Linked DNA regions of Kluyveromyces lactis. The protein of the gene in region 2 interacts with the protein of the main gene of each other region in a pairwise test. Links are inferred from orthologs where the notes say so. Each region holds a gene or a part of one and is shown on either strand. Other genes may lie near its edges.

Region 1 (3,618 bases), about 850 kb from region 2:
GGCATACATTGAATAACAACGATACAGATGGACTGACAGCTGATAGCGATGTTAATTCGATAACGGAGAGCGTAACGAAACGATTGAGTCAATCCTCTATAACCCAATCGGACGTTCCAGATCAGAATTCTGAAAATGACGTCGGAGGATATTCTGACAGCTCTGAAGACGAGGAAGACGGCCCACAGAAATTAGCATTCTCAACCAGGGAGTCAATCAATCTAGGCAAGTGGAAACCAGACACCGATGCATTCCGATCTGGTTTTGTTACTGAGACCATCGATATCAACAATCCTCCCGAAGGATACACCGTAAATGAGGACGGGGAAATTGTTGAAGTGAACAAAAACACAACATCCAATATTCAACGCAATTCATCGGTAGCATCAGACGGAGAAAGTCAATTTAATGCTTTTCCACATGACGTTGCATCAGATGATGACGACCTCAAGACGATTGCTGACACTAAAACAATTTATGACAATCAAACCATATATAACGTTCCTGCTCTGATTGCCAATAATGCATCTGCTCCGGCTCTCCCTACGAACATACAAATTACCAATGAATCTACTGACTACGTTTCTAGTAACGATACTATATTCAAACACGTGAACGGTGAAGCTCCAAAAGGTGAATCAAAATTAAAAGAAGCATTCAGTTCTGAAGGAGATGAAATTCCATCAGTGGTTCACCAGTCAACTGTCCCGAATCTAGACTTGGTCAAGCTTTTAAGCAGTAATGAGCTTCACTCCCAAAAACTAAAAAAATTAAACAATTACAAGGAACAATTAAAAGAATATGACTCCGGACTCCAGAGCTGGATCCAATATGCTTTGAAGTCTTCTACCACATCTGATAAGGATTTTATCTTCAAAGACTACAAAGTCAATAAACATGTTCAAGATGCTTATGCTCAAGCGGATATTTTGAGTAAAAAGAACAGCGTCGCAAATACGGTGAACCAAAATGTTACACATTTGAAGAAGAAGATGTTTTCTAGCAGCATGAGAGAAAAATCTAAGGGGTTATTCTCATCTATAGGTAAAAAATTGTAGTTAAAGGCAAGATCCGAATTGTAGAATGCATTTATGTTTACATGTTATGTGAAGTTTATAATTAATGGTTTAAAAATCAATTCGAAGAGTTTTCAACTCTTGTTTTTCCATGCTTTCTAAGCTCCTTATCCATTAAATCTCTAATTCTGTGAGTGCCTGCTATTCCGATGGCCATGACACTCTCAAGTCTATCCAAAGGCACTTTATCTTCCACCATTAATAAAGATAATTTTTCTGATTTACCAATTGTGCCTATGGTAACACTGCTCATTGCATTTTCCTCAAGCGAGTTAAGGTCTAGTAGTGGTGTAGTATCATAAAGTCCCACTGAAACCCCGCTTACAAAATCATACATTGCGATACCAGCATCTATCAGAGCCAATGTTATTCCATTAAGCATTGCCCCAAGAATCCCACCATCTAACTGTAGAGCATGAACTTGAACGTCAATTGACGTACGAGGATAGAGATGAAGCATCAAGTTCTTTTCAAATGTACGCACTAACGAAGCTTGCCATTCTAAGGTTCTTCTTTCATTCTTATGGCTTGATTTGCTTCTTTCCATCTTGGCAAACTTCGTTAAGTTAATAGTAACGGATAAAGTAGCTTGTTTCGTATTGACTTGTGACCTCGAGGATGGTTCTTGAGGACCAGCAACTAATGTGATAATCTTATTGTTACCTTGTTCCAAGTACGAGGATCCATCTGCAGCATTCGGGTGAGTGTTGATGGAACAGTTGAAACTTCTTAGCTCATTCCAACGACGACCATCGACACGCAATCCCTCTGGAGAATATATTTCAAAACGTGACATTATGTTACTCTGTTAGTTAAAGTGGGTTTTCCTACACGCTAGCTGGAGGGGCTAATTTCAATCTGACAGCCTCTGCTTTGAATGTACTTCTTCTAGTAGATGTCGATGAGCTCATATTTCACTTGTAAGATTCAAAACTTGAATACTTTTTTTTTTTCAAATTCTATTTCAATAATCAGTATGAAGAAAACAGCAGCGAGTGAATCTGACAACGGATATGAAATTGGATGAACGGAATGGAACATCAAAATACTCGTCAGGACTTCGATCGTGGCTTTGAAAATGTCACAGTACGCTACAGTATATGCTAAGTTAAAATTATATATTCTTCTTATGTTGATTGTCTTGGAATGACGTTCTGGATTTGATGTCAGTGATAAAGACACCGAGTAGATAGACGTTGATGAGGAAAAACACTATATTGCCAAAGAATAAGTTGGGGAAAAATACATTTTGGCCTTTGAATTCAAGTAGATATGCTTGTGAAAGCCATACGGCTTGAGACAATATCCATAAAAATATACAGACCACACCTTTTCTCCATGTAATGGTTGTATTTGCGAAATAAAATGGGGATAATACCAAATACCAAATGAAATATTGAGAAGTGCATACTTTATTGAAAGTAACGAATGCGTATGTTTGTACGAATAGGACATTCATTAAATTTTCGAACGTCTGTGATTTCCACAATAGATAAGGTAGTACTGCACATAGTGTCAATTGAGGAACGAATGCCAGCTTAGATAGTTCGATAGATTGGGAAAGATGAATACCAGCAGATTCTAAGAGTAAGACCAGGTTCCAAATCGAAAAATTGTGTCTGTGGTCTGTTCTCGTGAGATGGTACATGTACGAGTGTTCGATAAATTCGCTCCCGTAAAGCTTGTACATGAAATACGTCGGCGCAGTTATGCCGATTAGCGTCGATATCCCTATCATGAACAATCGCCAAATGCAGTTTCTATTGTGACTCGACAACAAGAGATATATTCCGATCGGTAGCGCATAGATTATCGGATAGATCTTGAAATGAATCGATAACCCATAGAAAAGTCCTGAAATAAGTAACCTGTCTCTTTTCAAAAAGTATAAAGCACATATGATCAAAAAACATAAAACCGATTCAGCGTTTCCTCGAGTACTTATCGTTATAACAATCGGGTTCAATAACCAAATAGAAGCTAGAATTAGCTGTTTTGTCAATTGACATGAACCTTGTAATAGTTTTATGATCATCACACCTGTAATGAGATCAAATAAAACAAAGAAGACTTTCCCCATATGAATCCACTTTAGATAATAATTGGGTAGTAACAAGAAGCTCAATAAAGGTGTGTACCTGTATGTATCACGCAAATAAGGGGATTGTCCATTGTTAACGTAACCAGCTGCATCATGAAAGACAAAGTAATCGATATCAGTATATTTAACGTCAAAATGCGAGTCTTGGAAAATACCGTAAGAAAAGAATCCAATTCGAAGTAGTAAAGAGACTGTTAATAATAAGATTACTTTTCTATGCATTTCCTGTTAGTAAAATGGCGGGCTTCAAGCAAGCAAGCAGTCGTTATGATCTTCAGATATGATTTTATTGTTCGAAATGTGGTTCCCCAAGGTTGGTATGTAATGCCAAAATCATGGCATTATGTTGAAAAAGTACAATTTAAATATAAAGTCACTTAAAGGTTTCTCGGAGAATCAAAGATGATTATAAGTAAGATGGGAAACCGATGAAGAGAACAC
Region 2 (3,810 bases):
CCAGCACCTTGTATATATGCTTGAACGTGTTATTGATTTCATGCCTCCTGGGCAAGATTCATTGGCTTTGTTGATAGATTTCAAAGATTATCCTGATGTTCCAAAGGTTCAAGGTAACTCAAAGATTCCTCCTTTAGGGACCGGTAAAGAGGTTTTACACATTTTACAAACACATTATCCAGAAAGATTAGGGAAAGCATTATTAACTAATATCCCGTGGCTTGCGTGGACCTTTTTGAAGCTCATCCATCCTTTTATTGATCCGTTGACTCGTGAAAAATTGGTTTTTGATGAACCATTTCCAAATTATGTGCCACCTGATCAACTCGAGACGCTTTATGGTGGTAACCTCGACTTCAAATATAATCATGAAGCCTATTGGCCTGTCCTAACTCAAATTGCAGAGAAGAAGAGAAAGCATTATCTACAAAGATTTGAGAAGTTCGGAAAAAAAGTTGGACTGAGTGAATATGATTTAAGAGGTGACCACGATGAGTTGAAATTCCCAATCAACTAAAAGTCCAACTAACTTTTCTGATAATAACATATGATATTCAGGCGTTGAATTCACAATGATCTTAGTAGAAACTTCCTCAATATTCCCAATATGCGTGAAGCCTAATACGAAACTAATGTAAATGTAAATGAAAGTTGTAAATGTATGTATGTGAAGGTACCTATAGACTTGAACAAAAAGCTTGTTGTGTTCCGACTATATTAGAAGGGCTTTGCACATTTTCGTTTCTCAGCGACTCCGGTCTTTGGTGAAATCATTGTCTGCCAATCAATTGCATACATCTGTTCTCCAGCTCCGTTAGAAGACTTAGCGAACACCACGCCCAAGTCATTCCTTGCTGTAGTTAAATAGTAATGGGTACCATCGCCAAGTGAGAGCACTTGAGCACGTATTATATCCCCAGGTTTAAAACTTTCCATAACTTTTACTCTATCTCTATCAGTGGCCCTTACATCTTGGGATCTAATTATGCCCCTAAAAGTTTCTCCCAAATCCGCGGACACTTGCGAAACGGAAAACGTAGACGCACCAGATCCACCAGCAGCAGCAATTATGCCAGTCCCATTGCTTCCGACACCAGAGTCGATCGGCAAGGGCGAATTCTCAACTGCTAAAATCTCAACTGTTATTCTTTGCAAACTGATTCTGGTCACCCTCGCCAGTACGATATCGCCCTCTTGCGGAAGGTTATTGACAAACTGGTCATCAACATACTTGCTAGCAAACTTGCTAGGATTTGATACTGATACTTTGAAACTTTTTATAACTCTACTATTGCCAGAGCTTGCATCCCCTCCGGTGGTCTCATGAGATTCTACAAACGTCGTATTCTCTGAGTCTTCTTGATCGTCGTCTTCGATAATATCTGCTGGAACTTCTTCCACAGATACAGAACCTTTTAATGTGGCTACGATAATATCAACGTTCTTGCCGTTAACTCTAAAATTCTCCTGTTTACAGCCAGTGCCCGTTAGGAAGCGTATTACCACTTCTTGCTTGTTATCATCATCAACATCAAATATTGGACATATAAGATCACCGGGTATAACAGTCTGGGGGAAATTTTTAAAAGGCTTCATTTTATAACGATGCATATAGACAAACCTTACTGTTATCAAACACTCTTATTATCTTACAGGCCATATTTAAGCTAGTTTGGTATTACTGTTAGCTCATCGCATAAAGCAGCTCTTTTTTTATCATTTTCATAATGAGTGAAACAATTTTCAAAATTTGGGAGATGTTGAAGACAAGTTAGAATTATTTTCAAATAGTAGGGTAATATTACCAAAGCTTTCAAAGCGGGCTCAACACGAAAGCTACGTGCACGATTTGAATCCATATAAAGGGAAACATAGAAACGCATGGTAAATGATTTAACTACTATGATTACATGTATTTATAGGTCTACTAAAAGAAGTGAGTGTTGCACATAGAATCTTCGTGAATGTCCATTTCTGCTTTAAGCTCATTCAGCTCGTCCTTTATCATTTGGGCCAATTGAGGAGTAAGTTGATTGCATGTTGCCGAATCAGGATGCCTATCATACTCAAGTTCACCATAGGTCTCATAAAGGACTATTTGAGAGGAAAACTTAACAAGTTTTGCTGCATAGCTAGATCTTTCTTCCGATTTCTTCGACATCTGATCTGAGATATGTTCAAGTCCCGTAAGCCCTGAAAGTTCCATGGTACTGTTGAATTGTGGCGCTTTCAAACCCCTAAAAGACATCGATATAGGCCTGCTCATCGATGTTGTGATATCTGGTAAAAATGCGTTGATCTTTGGGGATTCTTTTACTGCATGTATGCCATTAAAATCTTCGTTCTCAAAATCTTCCTCATCATAATTATCAAAATATAAACTGCTATCAGAAAAAGTGTTTTGGTTGCTACTGCTAACATTTTCTGGTGATGTGTCTCTTGTTTTTATAGTACTTGATATGTGTTTCTGATCATCCAAACCAGTCTGTTTTTGGTTGAGTACTGAACTGTTTGTCTTAATTTCTGGGGAGTTAGTAAGTTCCACAAGAAATGAGTTTTCTGTCTCAGTATTGAAGCTGGGCTTGGATAGAGAGTTTTTCACAGATTCTTTGACCGGATTTAGAGTTTCATAGTGTGAACGATTGTCAGAATAGAGATCAAAATTTAACTCGATATCTTGTCCAAAGTCTATTATACTTGCAAATTCCATGATATCTGAGATTAATTCGTTGTCTTCATTATCTGAATCTTCAAGACTAGATTTAGTTGCCTTATTCTGCACCAATGGTTTTTCTAGTTGATCTTCTTGATCAGATTCCATTGTCAGCTCGTTTAACTTTTGCTCTATGGAACCAAAAGAAAAATCTCTCTGTTGTGGTGAAATTGTGAAACTTGCACTTCGAGTACCATGACTATTGTCCAAATCAGAACTGGCGGATATTTTTTCATCAGACGTAGTTTCAAACTTTCCGCTGCGCAGAATACTGCTCACCGGAGATTTCGTTAAATCCGGGGTTGCGAAAGATGTTCTTGTAGCTTCGGTAATGAACATTCCTTCCATTTTGGCATTGAGTGAAATGTGATCACTCAATGATCTGGTACGTAGAGAAGACATTGAGTTTCGTTGATTTGATTTCATAGATCTGGACCTTTCAAGAGAGACAATTGACTCAACCTCTGATACGTCGAGTGACTTTGGAAAAACATCTCTTGGGAATTTATCCTCTGTAGTTAATTCAGGCACATCTTTCACAAAATTTAGGGGCGTTGGCTTACGCTTTTGGAAGACCTTCTGTGGTCGTGTATTGTTCTTTGGAAGGATCTGGGATTCTGTATGTCGTTCCACGACCACATTATCACTCTTTTTAACAGCATTGCTGTCATTGTTCTTATTCTTCCTAAAGGTGGTGAAGATACTGCTGCTACTAAGTGACCTCTTAGTGCCAGGCCCTTTCAAGTCTTCATTAGATTGGCCTTTTTTTGACGCCAAACTAAAACTCTTCGATGTTGACATTTGTTTCTCCGTAGACTGCTTTGGCTTCCTCCAAAAATTGAGCAGGCTTCTTCTTCGTTTTGATTTGCTTGTATCAATATCTTGTCCACCCTTTACGTTAGAATCCAATCTTTGTAGTACTGGCGTATTCTTCTGGATTTCTAATGAAACAGTTTCCTGCATTAATGAAACTGTTGGCGTGAGAGGTTCATCAATATTTGGTTTTTGTTCTAGTATTAACGTGTGTGGGTCTTCGTCGGCACATTCATTTGCTGACTTGATGGTAGGAATAGTATACTGCGAATCGGTTTCATTGT
Region 3 (3,810 bases), on a different chromosome or scaffold from region 2:
GTTATGATCGAATTGATAGGTATTCGCAACTTGCCCCTATTCATTGCAGTAAAAGTCATACATCAGTCCGTTTCAACTTGTTTTCTCGTTTCTTTAAGAACAATATATTCTATATCACCGACCTCTGTCATGTGTCACAATAAATCGATAAATTATTAAATTCAGGTAAGTAGAACCCGATGTGAAAAGTACATACCAACTAATACCAGATTGTATTAACTCTTCCTGATCACTGGAGTTGAATTTCCAAACACTCAAGGCTTTATTCGAATTGATGGATTTTGGGACATATTTGTGGTGAATTGATTATAATGTCACATTTATGGGATCAACGGAATAATCCAATATTGTACATATGCGGCTACTACATTCTATTTGTTGTTGTTAGTATCGTGCTATTATTCATAATATACTGTACAGTAACATACTGGGCTAATTCGAAGAACATTTTGGCGGCAGAAGAGCGGTACTTGAATTCTGCACCAGAGACACAAATTTCTATTGACAAACACATGATGATGTTGGATGAACGAGATTTGTATCCCGAACTTAATTCACGAAACGGATTCGAATTTGAAAAGAACGACTTGAACAGATATCCAAATTTAATACATATTGTAAAGTTTAACGCTCGGGAAGAATCAGTGACTTCCTCAACAGAAAGAGACATGACCAGACTTTATATTTGATTCACTATCGCTAAGATATTCACAGCATACACTCTCATATATCCACCAAACAGATACATTATTTGTATATTCATACATACAACATATAGTACAGAACAATATCAAACGCGCTGAACGGCATGGATTAAACGACTTCTAGCTGCCAAGTGTCTTGGGATATGGTACAACCATAAGCATTAATCTATAATTGAAGAAAAGCTTCCAGTTCTTCGATACAATGCTCCTTAAGTTTCACGAGCATTTTCAGAGCTCAAAATGTGTGCGTATTGGTTTCTTGCAATGGTATCTTGTTTCACAACACGATGAATTTGATCAGTGATTTTTTCTACAATTCCGTATGCTTTATGACAACAATCAATCAACGACAAAGCTTCCATCGGCAAACCACCTGCTTTGGAGATTTGAACAACTTCTCTGTTTTTATTAAGCGTCACAGTAAGCACACCATCTCTCAATAGCTCCTCTTTTAAGGAAGCATCGATGATTGATATTTCTGCATTGTCCTCACCTTTGATATTTTCTTCTGTATCGTCTGGATTGAAGAATGAAAACGTCACACAAATTGGAACATGCAAAACACCTAGTGACACAGGTTCTCTTTCATCAATCGGATGTACCGTCACTCTTTCACCAAGAACAGTAACGTCGGGCTTCTTAAAATGAAGTAACCCAGCCATTACAGCAATGCAACTGGCATCGATTAGTCCACCATCACAATCTAAAAAGTGAACATCAGCTCTAAGAGACCAACATTTGGAGCCAGCTATTATGCATAAACCTTCTACATCTAATGCTCCTGATCGTCTTACAGCTTTCTCAATCATCCTACTGATCAATACCTCTTCTTCTCCAGTATTGTTCCCATTCTCAAACTGAGCACCTGCCATCGGTGTAGTTTCGGTACTTATATGGAAAAGTCCTTCAAACGGTCTATCTTCATAAGGTTGTGCAATTTCACAGCTGATACGACAGTGTACCTTTGTGTTACCCATGGTAACAGTCACATCACCGTATGCTTCACCTATTTCGATCTTCACATCTCTGAATTGGTCATATGAACGTCCATCTAATCTTTGTTTAAGCTTTAACGCTTCCAGGATAAATTTGGATTCAGCATTACTGATCTCTATATCTTTTGCCATCACCTCTTATCGATTTAACTATTTTGATATGCGAATGCAAGCTCTCTTCGGCTATGGTTTTCTCTTTCAGTGCTGCTCATCGCAACTCTTTAACTTTTCAAGTGTTATAGTTCTAAATCTTTCATAAGCTTTGTCTCATTTGATATGATAGAAAGATGAAAAAGGAATAAAAACAAAATTGATGCGAGTTTCTCTAGGAGGAAGACCCTGTAGACAGGTATTAAGTGGAAGAAGATCAATTATTTTAGAGCTCAACAACGGCATGTTATGTGAAGCTTTAGGTCAAAATGATAGAGGTTATCCAATACTGATATTTCTACGAAATTATTATATGCCCTTACTTATGTTTTGTTAGTTTTGAAGAATCCGTCAATTCTTCCTTTACCCTTAGCAACCTTTGGTTTCACAACTTTAGCCTTTTGAATAGGTTGTTTCTTTACGGTTTTTGTGCCATTTGGAATGGCTGTAGACATAGCAGCTTTGATAAGGAGCTCTCTTTCCCTTTCTGTTTGTAATGTTTCGTTCTTGTACTTGTCGTATGAGTCGAAACATTGTTTGATGTTAAGATTTGAAGATTCATGTCTAATTAGATCCTGGTATGCGAGTTGTGGGATCAAGGAAACTAGAAGATTACACGACATTATGCATTTCAGAGATGATGCTATATCTTCAGGTAGCGATTTTGGTATTTTAAGAGAAGTAGGGAAGTTGTTGTTGATTTTGATGACTTTCTTCAGTAGCCATTCTACTATCATTTGAGGTTCGATACGATAATACTTGTCACCAGCTTCTTCCACTGTATGTGATATTTTCCCGAGACAACTTTCCCATAATTTTGGAGGTATCTTCTCCCAATTTTCACTGTGATTATTCGTTAATTTCTCTTGGTAATCAGAACTAGTATAAAAGTTAGTATCCATATCGAGTGCGGGTGGAACGCAAGGTGTAATAAACGCTAGATCCTCACTAGTAACTTTGTTGTTCCTATAATAATACCCACATATATTAAAAGTTAAGTCATATTTTTCGGCATATAGTATCGAACCATCTTCTAGTATGTGTCCATCTTTCCTGTTCTCTTCATTGATCAAAAATGTGGATTTAAATGTTTGCGAATCTGAAGTATAATGATATTTATCATTCACTAAATCTCGCGAGCAATTATAGTCACAGCCTTTACTGAACTTTTTGATTTTAAGCTGGTATACTTTATCGTCGTGTACAAACAGTTTGATAGGTTTCTTTGATTCGTTATTCGATGGATGTGGAAGTTCAAATATTTCGACAGGAGAATCCACTGAATTTGGCAAAGCTACCAATAGACATCCTTTCCTTATTACCTTCTCAACAGTCATATTCACTAAGGAAATGTAGCTGGGGATTGTTGTTTGATCGTTAATTAGGATAGTTAACAATGCTTTTTACGCGTTTCGTTCACGTTAAATGTTGTAAATGTCAGTGGAATATACCAAGTATTGGATGAATGTACGCAATTGTGTGCTGCGGCTGTCGTTCTGAATCTATTGCACACTTAATACAGCGAACAGCTACAAAAAGGAAGGGGCATGTAATTTGCTTTGTTATGAGATTTCACTTTTGTTTAACTGACAATTCTTCCTCGTTTATGGATCTGAAATATTATATATATATATATACACTGATTCATATCGGAACTTGAAATTACTGAAGAAGTTTACGCAAAGTAAAATGCACGGCGCGTAATTACATAAAATAACAGCTGTTGGTAAACTCACTCCCAAAAGATGGTGGACTGGATCACCTTCTCAAAATACTTGGTTGCTATCTTGGTAATCGTCGCTAGTACTGTTTGGTTTATCAATTCGGTTATTATTGACTCCAAAAGAGATCTACATACAATTTCGCTGAACGCACAATCAAATGTTGAGTCCGTAAGAAAGGAACATGAAACTGCTATTTACAGAAACCTATTAGTCCCAGCTTCTTTTCCATTGACTACA
Region 4 (3,295 bases), about 390 kb from region 2:
TATTTGGTCTGTGATGTTTACATTGAGAACTCCAAGTACTTGATTCAAGAAGGTACAGAAGTTCAACAAAAGTCTGCTAAGGATACCTTATATATCTTGATCGACAATGCATTGAAAATGATCCATCCATTCATGCCTTTCATCTCTGAAGAAATGTGGCAACATCTACCAAGATACGCCAGCGAAACTTCTCCAACTATCGTTAAGAGCTCATACCCAACTTTCAAGGAAGAATTCCACAATCCAAGCGCTGCTAAGGAATACGAGCTAATCTTAAACGTCACAAAGGATGCTCGTTCCTTGTTGGCACAATATAACATCTTGAAAAACGGTAAGGTGTTTGTTGAATCTGCTAATGAATCATACTACTCCACTGTCCAATCTCAAAAAGATTCTATCGTCTCTTTGATTAAGGCAATCGATGAAGTTTCCGTTGTGAAATCTGCTGCTGATATCCCACAAGGTTGTGTGCTACAATCTGTCAACCCAGAAGTTAACGTGCATGTGCTTGTGAAGGGTCACGTCGATATCGATGCAGAAATCTCCAAGGTCCAAAAGAAGCTAGACAAGACTTTGAAGTCTAAATCTGCCATTGATAAGATTGTCAACAGCAGCGATTATGAACAAAAGGCCAATGACCAAGTGAAGCAATTCAACAAAGAAAGATCAGAGCACGCTGCCGCTGAAATCGAAACCTTGGAAGCTACCATCGCTAACTTGGAAGCATTGAAGTTGTAGAATTGTTTTGTTATTTGTCCAATAGATTAGATTACTCTCTCTGCCGCTGCTAATGCGAATTATATAAATGCAAATATATATAAATTGTATATAAAGATGATAACGTTAATTATAAAGTTAATTTATAAAGAACCATGGGTGCAGGTATACCCACTACTGTCTCCAGACGAAATCTTTGGCGACTTTATCCTTGATCACTGATCTCAACTCTGTGTATAACCGTATACACTCTTTCTCACCTGTTTCTAACACTTTAAACAACTGTGACTCGTCAAAGCTGCCTAAACTATCAAGAAGAAGCAGGTTCCTGACATCTATATCCCCGTTCTCATTCGTGCCCAGCTCTAGACAGTATACGTGGACCGATTCACATTTAGCTAGCTGCGATTCTGTTGGGTTCACCACCAGCTGCTTCCCTTCAGTGGTAATACCAATACAAGTACCAGAACACATACTGAGTAACGGTACACCAGCATCCACCAATGCGAGCACCGCTGCGTTAACACATACACTGACTTCTTTCACAGTATAATCCCTGCTTTCTCCCGCTTCTAATACTTGGAGACATATCTGCACAAATTGACGTGGATGCAAGTATCTCGCAAGCACTGGGGTCAACACAGAACGGATCTGATCTTCCATTAACTTTTCCCTCGTACTCTGTACGCCTTCAGCAGGCTTCACGATGATCTCTAATGCAAGTTGTGTGGGCAACTCTTGCCTAGACTTAGGTTCCATGGGTCCCGAAACAGAACAGATAACTTTAGTTCCGCTGTTTGAAACAACAGAAGAGCCATCAACATGGCCCAAAACATGCGTCGTAGTCTCCATCTTGGCTAGAAAATTACTATAGGTACAATATAACAATCAATACGCAGTCGGTATAGACGGTAATGAGCCACTACAGTCCCTCTTTCCCCATCTTTTGAATGTTATGTCAGGATGAGATGAGATGAGCTTCAAATTCAGAAATTTTTCACTTTTAGGATACGCAATGAATAGATATGAAACTAAGAGGTTGGAGATGCAATGCAATTGATGTGCCAGAGACCCTTTTAGCAGGGCATGTATGTGGTAATTTATAAATAAGGAGATTGTGTGTAGGTCTGGCTTCATTTAAGTTCTGAGAAGGGAGCGAGAGACCAGCATTCAGTGAATCTTCAATCCATCAAGAGAGAGGGATTTATTTAATGACGAAGAGAGAATGAACACTGGCATAAGGAAAGACCATCTCAGGAAAGGTGAAACGGTATCATGGTACAATTCAGTGATTGCTGGTTCTGTTTCTGGGGTATTTGCTAGGATGGCAACTGCACCAATGGATACTGTAAAAATACGATATCAGTTACAACCGGTACAAGAGGACAAATATAAGGGAATTGCATCTACTGTGAGAACTATAATGAAAGAAGAAGGACTTCGAGCGTTATGGAAAGGAAACATCCCGGCGACGGCGATGTACGTTGTTTACGGTGCAGTACAATTCGGATCTTACTCGTGGTTCAACAACGTTTGGTCTGCGAAGTTCCCTCGGTTTTCACAGCAGGGACAAACGCTAACGGTCGGAGCGTTGGCAGGAATGACTAGTTCAGTGGTATCTTACCCGCTAGATTTGCTTCGGACAAGACTTATAGCAAACAGAACGAGCCATCGGACCAGTGTCGCAGAGGAGTGCCGACAAATGTGGCTCAATGAAGGTGTACGAGGTTTTTTCACTGGAATATCCACTGCGATGACAACGGTTACTTTATCCACGGCTATCATGTTTCTCACATATGAGACCGTGAATATAGTCTGTGAAAACCACGAGAAAGAATTCTGGTCGCGACCTGTAAGTGCTAGTTCAGGGATCATCGCAGGGTTTGTATCCAAGACGATGGTGTTCCCCATTGACACTTTACGTCGCAGAATGCAAGTGATGAACTCTAAGAGAACAGTTCATTTCACCAAATTCCCTGCTGTTTACCACGAGTACAGGTATAAATCATCCACTGCAATTATTTACAAGATACTAAGACAGGAGGGTGTATCAGCGTTGTACCGAGGACTTACAATGGGACTATGTAAATCTGTTCCAACGACAGCAATCAGTCTTTTCGTGTATGAACGCACAATGGATCTCTTTGATCACGGACAGCGCTGGGGGAGATCTCCATAGGACAACTGTGGATATATCTCATACCAACGGAGGATGTTACAGAGAGCGTGTTTACCTCCAGTATATAGTTGATGTAGAGGAATATCCTACTGTGTATAAGTCACGTGATCAATATCAGAATCATTTAATGATAACTTCCAAACGAATCAAAGCAACTTACCGATGGCTGATGCAAAAGAGAAAAAGAGACGACAAAACCAGTCGGTACGGCGCCACTTCTAGCTGCAATTGACGCGTAGGATCTAAGTACAAGTGGTAATTCTTATTTTTGGTGTTACTATTGCGAAGTTGTGCAGATTGTTTCTGGAAACTACTTAAATTAAGAGCCTCGACGAGTTAACAAGAATAATCTCGTGAAATAGTTTCAAATGTCCGCTGTCACCGCTAGAGATGTGCTAT
Region 5 (4,223 bases), on a different chromosome or scaffold from region 2:
TGTCTCGTTGCTTTCCCAAGAGAAGGTTAGTCATTCTGAAGGCTGCATCTTTCAATTTCTGTTGCCTCGAGGGCGAGACATGGAAATGACTCACAGATGGCAACATCTGGTCACGTGGACAGAGTAAAGACAAACGGATGATAAAAGAGATGGACTGAGGGACACTGGGCCAGTGACTTGTTTTGGTGACTGTTTTCTGCAATCATGAGAGTCACTGGTATGTTGCATTCTATTTACATTGCAATTATGTATCAAGATAGTTAGATAAAGGCTAGTGACTGTGGTAGTTGGAAACTAACACAGAACATTGGTTTCGTTGGAGCGACTTTTCTCACTAAGTGGAACTGGAACTGGTTGAACGGAAGCTCTTGCTCAGTGGTCTTCATTATTTGTAGTATTTGTTGGTAGACCCTTTCGTGTAGTTGTTCCATGGATGGTTCTGGTTGTTCTTCCGCATCGTATTTATGGAAACAATGACAATGGATCCATGGGGTTTGGAACTGTTCGCCGTGTTCTTGAACCATCTGTTCGTATGTGAACCCGTACCTTGAATATAATCCGACGAATTCATCAAGGAATTGAAGAGCACTGTCAGGTAAGTTCATCACGTAGTGATCGAAGAACTGGTTTTTGATTGGGATCTTGGTTTCAGGAGTACGTTTAGTTTCTCCCGTGACTTTATCCTTGTACTTCTTACCTCCTGGCACCGTGATGACTCCCTGTACCCTTTCGATGAATTGTTGTAGTAGCTTGGGACTATCTCTGATGAATTCGCGGCCATCGAGGTTCAATGGTTCAACGAAGTTACCCACCTTATTGTCGATGATATTTTGCTGCATGTACTTGTAAGATTCTGGGTTCAAATCGTTACTTAGAACGATGACCTTCTTCTTTCCTGCTGGAACTGAGAATGGCCCCACCCCAGCAAACACATCACCAACTATTTGGCCCGGTTTGAATAGACTCACTAACCTTGCATGTTCTGTATGTAGTCTTGAGTTCCAGTACACTTTACTGAAATCGAAAGTGAATGAACAATCAGATTCCCTTTGAGTCACTAGCAGGTTCGGTTCACCCGCTAGGACGTTCATTTCGAAAGTTCTGAATTTGGTAGCAATGGAATCCACTTTATCGACCACGGTCTTGATCGTCGAATTCTTGTCCAAGATGACTTGTCCAATTATTTCACCAAACGGTTTGAACTCTTTCCTTAAATTCAAATGAGCTACGTGTCCCACAATAGTGAACCCAGTAGGAATCTCAGCAAGGTACTCCTCTGGTAAAATTGCATTTAGAATCTCTTCCACTTTCCAGAAGTCATAATCTAGCACATACTCATGGTTTCTCAACTCATACTCTTGCTCATCAAGAAATTCTAGTGCATTGGAGGTCAACTTCCCTCTCGCCTGCGAAACATCTTGTATACTGTCTTTTAGTATGATACCTTTGGTTATATGGTTGTCATTGGCCAGGGATTTGCTTTTCTTCTGTACTGGCTCGACATCGTTCTTATCAGTATCTTCTTTTGGTGTTTCGCCAAGTCTTATAACGAATGGAATTCTTGGTGTCCTTAATATATCGTCCTTGAACTTCTTGGTGAAGACAGAAATATTCTTTGGATTCTTCAATAGCAATACAACAACAGGAAGCTTCTTTACGAATAATGATTTATCTAATTGTTTCATGCCACGATGCACTGGTGGTTCATATTTGAACGTAGTTTCAATAGCTCTACTCATTGTTCTTCGAAGCACTAGGCCAAACCTCATAAAACTAGTCCTCCTCTATCCTTGAAAAATGGAGCAAAATAGTGTGCTATCACTTCACCAAATAAAACGCTGCCTGACGGTCGATCTTTGCTGCAACATTTTTACATCTTTTACAACGCTCATCTCATCTCATCTCATCGCTCTCTTATTTAATTTGGAAAATTTTCAGTTAACTAACACCAAAAGTAACAAAGGTACAGCGAGGAAGTCAGCACATCGAACGCCTTCTGCAGTCCCTGACATCGTTATATCATTACTTGGAACAATGAGTGATGTTATTAGTGTTATCAATAGGAACGAATTTTGGTCTAATGGCCGTTTAGAACAGGATGAATATGAATCAGATTCCAGCTCAGGTTCAGAGCAAGAACATGACATTGAGATGAGCGGTGCTCACGATTCCAATGGTGGAATAGACCATCAGGATGGGTCTATTGTCACACCTGGTGAATTAATAACCGATGATCCTATATGGATGAAGGGTCATGGTACTTATTTCTTGGAAAACAAGACATACAGTTCTGTGGTTGGCACAGTATCGAGAGTGAATAGATTGCTATCCGTTTTACCATTAAAATCTCGTTATATTCCCGAAACAGGTGACCACATCGTGGGTAGAATCACTGATGTTGGTAATAGAAGGTGGAAAGTGGATATTGGAGCCAAACAGTATGCGGTTTTGATGTTGGGTTCTGTTAATTTACCAGGTGGTGTATTGAGACGTAAGTCAGAGACAGATGAGTTGCAAATGAGAAACTTCTTGAAAGAAGGTGATCTACTAAACGCTGAAGTCCAATCGTTGTTCCAAGACGGTTCAGCTTCATTACATACCAGATCGTTGAAATATGGGAAACTAAGGAATGGTACGTTTGTTCAAGTCCCAAGTTCCCTAATAGTGAGATCTAAAAATCATACACATAATCTTCCAGGGAATGTCACCATTATCTTGGGTGTAAATGGGTTCGTATGGATAAGGAAATCCTCCAAGATGGATCTTTCCGGTAAGACCACTACTACAGGTTCAGGACAATCTGACCATTTACCAGGATCCAACAATGCAATGTCGGTTTCCATTACAAGATTGGAAGAAGAGAGTTCTTGGGAAATATATTCGGATAAAAATGATACTGTTACTGTAAGCGTTAGGCAAACAATCACAAGATATGCAAACGTAATTAAGGCGTTAGCACATTGCGAACTCGGTATCACTGAGCCAAGAATAATATCCGCATATGAGGCTTCAATGGCTTATGGTAACTTGGGACAGTTAATTGAATCGGAGACGATGGAGTCCTTAGGTCAAGACGTCATCAACTCAGAGAAGATGAGGGGAGCAGCATAGGTTGTAATCGGTAATATTAATATTTACATGAAGTAGTATTTTATAAATAAAGTGCATAATATTTACAAATAATAAAATCTTTTCGATAAGAGTACCATCATTTGGATGTCTCAGATGTTGGTTTATTATGGGTAGCTTGTAGCGAGTCTTGCTTCTTTCCATCGTTTGTGAAAGATTCAATTCTGCTCTTAACACTAGCACCAAGATACTTTTCAAAGAAGCCAATTTCTTCTTTCTTCTTACCGTCACCTTTACGCTTGGCAACAATACACCATGTCGTACCGAAATGTGTTCTTCTTTCTTCGACGACATCCAATCCAGAATCGTCAAGGATTTCTCCGATATCCAAGTTCCATCTACAACCCCATGTCTTTAAACGTTTCTCAGCTCTATCGTCAAGAATTTTGTTGATTGTATCGTATGAACCTCTTCCGTGTTCCAAGAGAATGATTCTACCGCCAGGTTTCAACAATTCAGCAAAATTCTTCAAAGATTTTACAGGATCGTGATGTGAACAAAGACCAAACGCTTCAACAATAGTATCATACTTAACAGGTGTCTCCTTCGAGTTCAAGTCGATCAAATCTTCCGCTTTCCCTACAACAAATGCACATTTCTTGAAATTGGGTAGTGCTTCTCTGAATTTTTTATTTGTGATTTCCATCATCTTTTCCGATGCATCCAAGAATGTGATTGAGTTGATCTTCGTTGGGTCTAAATATTTGATATTCCTACCAGTACCACAAGCGACTTCGAGAACATCTCCTTTACAATGTTTCATGAGCCACTTACGTCTTTTACCCATTCTGATCATCATTTCTTCAAAACTCACACCCTCATCGTACTCTTCTGCCTTCATTTCATAGAAATCAGTGGTATCCCTAGCAGGTAGAATTTTCTCGTTAATCTTGTTTTGATCGTTGTTTTCCAAGGTAATCTTATCCAAATTCTCAGTCCCATCTTTCTCTATAATCTTTTGGTATTGTTTCAATTTCTCCACATCTCTTGTTCTTAACGTATTTTTTAGTTCCTTATAGCGCAACAACTCATATTCATTTGCTACTCCCATATCAATCTTTGCACTAATATCTTCTAACTCCTTGTCCTTCTTA
Region 6 (3,424 bases), on a different chromosome or scaffold from region 2:
GGCTGGTATGACCTCGGAAAACTGTATACTTTCAGAGATGAATAAACGCACCCGTTCTGGTTTCTTTCTCTTAGTTTCGGGCTGGTAATCTGCTGGGAAAAACCCTGGAATGAATCTGCTACAGACCATTCTTAACATTTAGCTTTTTCTGTTTCCAGCAGGCTGGGCCGTTCTCTGTGGCATTCATTTTCTTCCATCTGTAAACGTCGATGCGAAAAAAGTCTATCAGGTTCACGTTAACATTTCATTTCATTTTGATATGATCGACATATATACTGTGCCATGGCATGAAAATGTTAAGAACACTTTTGGAGAAAAACATACAGAGAGTCGTTTTGACAGCAATTATTCGGTTGGAAAAGTGGGAACTGCCTGGGTTAATGATTGGTCTCCATCTATAAAGCATCAGGTTCAATTCAAATCGAAACAATTCTTTTTTTCCCTTTAAGGTTGTTTCTCAGTGCTTCATACGTGTTGTCAATATCTTTTTGTGTTCTTATTCGGCCAGACAAAATTTTTTTTTTGGGTCTAATCCACAGCTTTCGCTTCAGTAATTAGATTGTGGTCTTTTCGTTTGTTATTATACCCAGTTCATTTCGTTCCAGCTAGTAATTTTTTTGTTCTTTTTGTTTAAATGGTGATATCGTTGATATATGTCCTTTTACTGATATGTTCAGTTGTCTCGGAGACCCTTAAACTGCCGATAAACCCAAATCGATTAGAATTCGATTTGTGGCCATATAAAAAATGGGAAGTTGACGGCTCGAGTGACGCGTCTAGTTATCAAACTTGTTTCGAAATGAATACGAATATTAAGGCCAAGGATTTACAATTCCTCATTGAAATTGAAGAATTTACTAAATGGAAAGTTAATGTGGATAGGTTTGGTCCAACTACGAGTTCAAAGGGAAAACAGGTTGTCAACATGGATATTTATGACGAAGACCAAAATTTGGTACAGTCAAGACATGGTTTAGAGAATGGGGAAACTGTGCTTTACGTGAGCGTATACGAACATCAGAATTTCCAAATATGCCTTATCAACTTTTCATTAGACTCCTCATGGAATGCCATAGATAGTGTGAAGCAAGTAGCAATTAGCATCACGTCTAATGATCTGATTCAGAAACAGAAGTGGGATTTGATTACTGATGATGATCTCAATTTGTTATCCCAGGGTAGAGATGACCTGTTTTCGTTGGTCAGTGCGGATTCTGGCCAGGAATTGCATGCTTTAGATGTCGATCATAGAAATCTCAACGAATCAACGTTCTCTTATCTACTGGCAAAAGTCACAATATTATTCTGCATCATTGGAGTATGTCATTTGCTGGTATTTCCAATCTTACTGTATAGAATCGTTAGCAAAGGGCAACCGACCAAGAACAAAAATAAAATCAAAAGATAAGGAATAATTATGTCCATAAAACAGTTGATGTATTTGTATATATATTAAACATCAGCACCCTGTATCAGTACAACTTCAATATCAGTCAGTCAGCATTCATCGTATGTTAGTACTTCGAACCGTGACTGACACCTGACAGAACATCTCACTAATGGCCAATTATATCCGGGTAACACCGAATATTAATGTGCATTAGCGAAAAGAAGAAATGAAAAATCTGAACTAATTTCAGTATTGACTTATATGAGCTTGAGATGAGATGCAATGAGATGATGAGAAAAGGCTTATTTCCCTTCTATCAACAGCAATAGAAACATCTGAGTTTAAAGCGAGTTATCTTCTCACGAAGCAGACCCATCTCGTTAAAAAAAAAATCAAATAATATAAGAAGATAATGGGACTTTCGTTAACTGAAAAATCGTTCCTATACGATTCTCTAACATTAGATCCCCCATTAAGACCGGATGGAAGAGGTCCACATCAATTTAGACCATTGGAAGTATCTACTGATTTCCTTCCCAATTCTAATGGATCCAGCCGTGTGATATTAAGCGGAGGAAGCGAGTGTATAGTGAGTGTAAAAACTAAAGTCGTGGACCATACGGTAGAACAAGAATTGCTTGTTGCTGATGTCGACATCCAAGGCCACAGAGATGACTCTCCATTGGTTACCAGCATGTCTTCACTATTATCCAAATTGCTCAAACAAACTATTGATCAGAAAAAGCTAATGCTCACGAAAAGGTACAGTTTCAAACTTTACATTGACGTTTTGGTGCTTGCCTCCAAATCATACCCGATCTCAATGATATCTTTCGCCATTTTCAGCGCTTTGAAAAACACATGGCTACCGAAACTAATATCGAACGACGATGACTTAGAAGTGGAGGAGCTACCCACATTCCATGATTACGATATGGTTAAGCTAGAGGCAGATGCTCCTTTATTGTTTACGTTCGCAATTGTAGGAGACGGTGTTTTTGTGGATCCAACTTTTGAAGAGAGCATAGTATCGAACAATGGCCTTCTAATTACGTGGTACAAAGATAAGGTTACTTCTCCGATAAGATCTGTTGGCTTGAATAACGATAATATCAAAGGGTTCAGTCAGCATCATTTAGAACAAGCGTTCAAGTTAATTCGTCAATACGCACCACATATTGAAAAAGCTTTGGATGCTTCAGATTAAGGAACATTTAAATAGTAAATAGGTACTTTTCAGGGTGTTTATTATAAATGCATATCTATAAATGCTGGATCGAGTACGAATGAACGATAACAGCTGTTGCAGTTTGGATATTCATGGATCTTATTACCCCAGATTGTTTGATTTCTAAGCATAAATCCAACTCCTTTAACAAATGCCCTGGAATACCATGAGCTTCTGTTCCTAGTAAAATGACAGATTTTGATGGAAATTTAAATTCAGAATTCAGTTGAATGGAAGAATCAGTCTGCTCCAATCCAATTAACGTATATCCTTCCAACTTCTTTGCATTCATGTAAGATATTATACCATCGACAGGAACTTCTTCAATAGGCATCCAGCGGTCCGCTGTAACCGCAACATTTTTGAATTGAGGATGCTGTTTGACTCTAATATCATGAATTGTCATAGTACCGACACCCAACACGTCACAGAGTCTACAAATACCTCCGAGATTGGGTGCTTTATCCACTAATGAAGCTACGACAATTAATTCAGATCGTGCAACAGACTCAATGGATTTTTGATTATCGAAATCCAAGACAGCTTCCCAAGCACCACTCTTCGTTTGTAGGGGCGAGTTTTTTGCTAACTCAGTTGAATTTACTAGATTACTACTTCTTTTGGTCAACCATAGTTCACTCTCTTCCGATCCTATTTCAAATTCACCGTCATCGATGTTAATGGCTTTGAATATCTTACTATTTATATATGGAACTTTATGATCCATAATTTTCAATAATACGCCGCCAAATATACTTGTTAACTTAAGGTCGTTATTGATGCTCCAAGTGTTTGCGTCACCGGCT

Evidence for each region.
Region 1: the proteins of CSL4 (region 2) and SKI6 interact in binary tests that used the Saccharomyces cerevisiae proteins (3 or more experiments, as listed by UniProt). The link is inferred for Kluyveromyces lactis from reciprocal best matches to the Saccharomyces cerevisiae genes CSL4 and SKI6.
Region 3: the proteins of CSL4 (region 2) and RRP45 interact in binary tests that used the Saccharomyces cerevisiae proteins (3 or more experiments, as listed by UniProt). The link is inferred for Kluyveromyces lactis from reciprocal best matches to the Saccharomyces cerevisiae genes CSL4 and RRP45.
Region 4: the proteins of CSL4 (region 2) and RRP46 interact in binary tests that used the Saccharomyces cerevisiae proteins (3 or more experiments, as listed by UniProt). The link is inferred for Kluyveromyces lactis from reciprocal best matches to the Saccharomyces cerevisiae genes CSL4 and RRP46.
Region 5: the proteins of CSL4 (region 2) and RRP4 interact in binary tests that used the Saccharomyces cerevisiae proteins (3 or more experiments, as listed by UniProt). The link is inferred for Kluyveromyces lactis from reciprocal best matches to the Saccharomyces cerevisiae genes CSL4 and RRP4.
Region 6: the proteins of CSL4 (region 2) and RRP42 interact in binary tests that used the Saccharomyces cerevisiae proteins (3 or more experiments, as listed by UniProt). The link is inferred for Kluyveromyces lactis from reciprocal best matches to the Saccharomyces cerevisiae genes CSL4 and RRP42.

Annotation. Positions count from the first base shown.
Region 1 is NC_006040.1:812,639-816,256, forward strand, and holds SKI6 (exosome non-catalytic core subunit SKI6), read right to left. Parts: upstream 1,873-3,618; coding exon 1,135-1,872; downstream 1-1,134. Other genes in the region: FYV8 (Fyv8p), read left to right, coding at 1-1,058; GPI14 (glycosylphosphatidylinositol-alpha 1,4 mannosyltransferase I), read right to left, coding at 2,191-3,399. UniProt on the Saccharomyces cerevisiae protein: Non-catalytic component of the RNA exosome complex which has 3'->5' exoribonuclease activity and participates in a multitude of cellular RNA processing and degradation events.
Region 2 is NC_006040.1:1,659,402-1,663,211, forward strand, and holds CSL4 (exosome non-catalytic core subunit CSL4), read right to left. Parts: upstream 1,612-3,810; coding exon 718-1,611; downstream 1-717. Other genes in the region: BNI4 (Bni4p), read right to left, coding at 1,928-3,810.
Region 3 is NC_006039.1:952,078-955,887, reverse strand, and holds RRP45 (exosome non-catalytic core subunit RRP45), read right to left. Parts: upstream 1,832-3,810; coding exon 914-1,831; downstream 1-913. Other genes in the region: KLLA0_C11121g (uncharacterized protein), read left to right, coding at 312-689; RNH202 (Rnh202p), read right to left, coding at 2,173-3,186; DDE1 (Dde1p), read left to right, coding at 3,595-3,810. UniProt on the Saccharomyces cerevisiae protein: Non-catalytic component of the RNA exosome complex which has 3'->5' exoribonuclease activity and participates in a multitude of cellular RNA processing and degradation events.
Region 4 is NC_006040.1:1,265,861-1,269,155, forward strand, and holds RRP46 (exosome non-catalytic core subunit RRP46), read right to left. Parts: upstream 1,570-3,295; coding exon 892-1,569; downstream 1-891. Other genes in the region: VAS1 (valine--tRNA ligase), read left to right, coding at 1-738; thiamine transporter TPC1, read left to right, coding at 1,943-2,896; PIS1 (CDP-diacylglycerol--inositol 3-phosphatidyltransferase), read left to right, coding at 3,265-3,295. UniProt on the Saccharomyces cerevisiae protein: Non-catalytic component of the RNA exosome complex which has 3'->5' exoribonuclease activity and participates in a multitude of cellular RNA processing and degradation events.
Region 5 is NC_006041.1:1,129,273-1,133,495, reverse strand, and holds RRP4 (exosome non-catalytic core subunit RRP4), read left to right. Parts: upstream 1-1,797; coding exon 1,798-3,111; downstream 3,112-4,223. Other genes in the region: TRM5 (tRNA (guanine) methyltransferase), read right to left, coding at 261-1,769; OMS1 (putative RNA methyltransferase), read right to left, coding at 3,209-4,223. UniProt on the Saccharomyces cerevisiae protein: Non-catalytic component of the RNA exosome complex which has 3'->5' exoribonuclease activity and participates in a multitude of cellular RNA processing and degradation events.
Region 6 is NC_006041.1:823,517-826,940, reverse strand, and holds RRP42 (exosome non-catalytic core subunit RRP42), read left to right. Parts: upstream 1-1,802; coding exon 1,803-2,597; downstream 2,598-3,424. Other genes in the region: RRT6 (Rrt6p), read left to right, coding at 635-1,408; TRM3 (tRNA (guanosine(18)-2'-O)-methyltransferase), read right to left, coding at 2,653-3,424. UniProt on the Saccharomyces cerevisiae protein: Non-catalytic component of the RNA exosome complex which has 3'->5' exoribonuclease activity and participates in a multitude of cellular RNA processing and degradation events.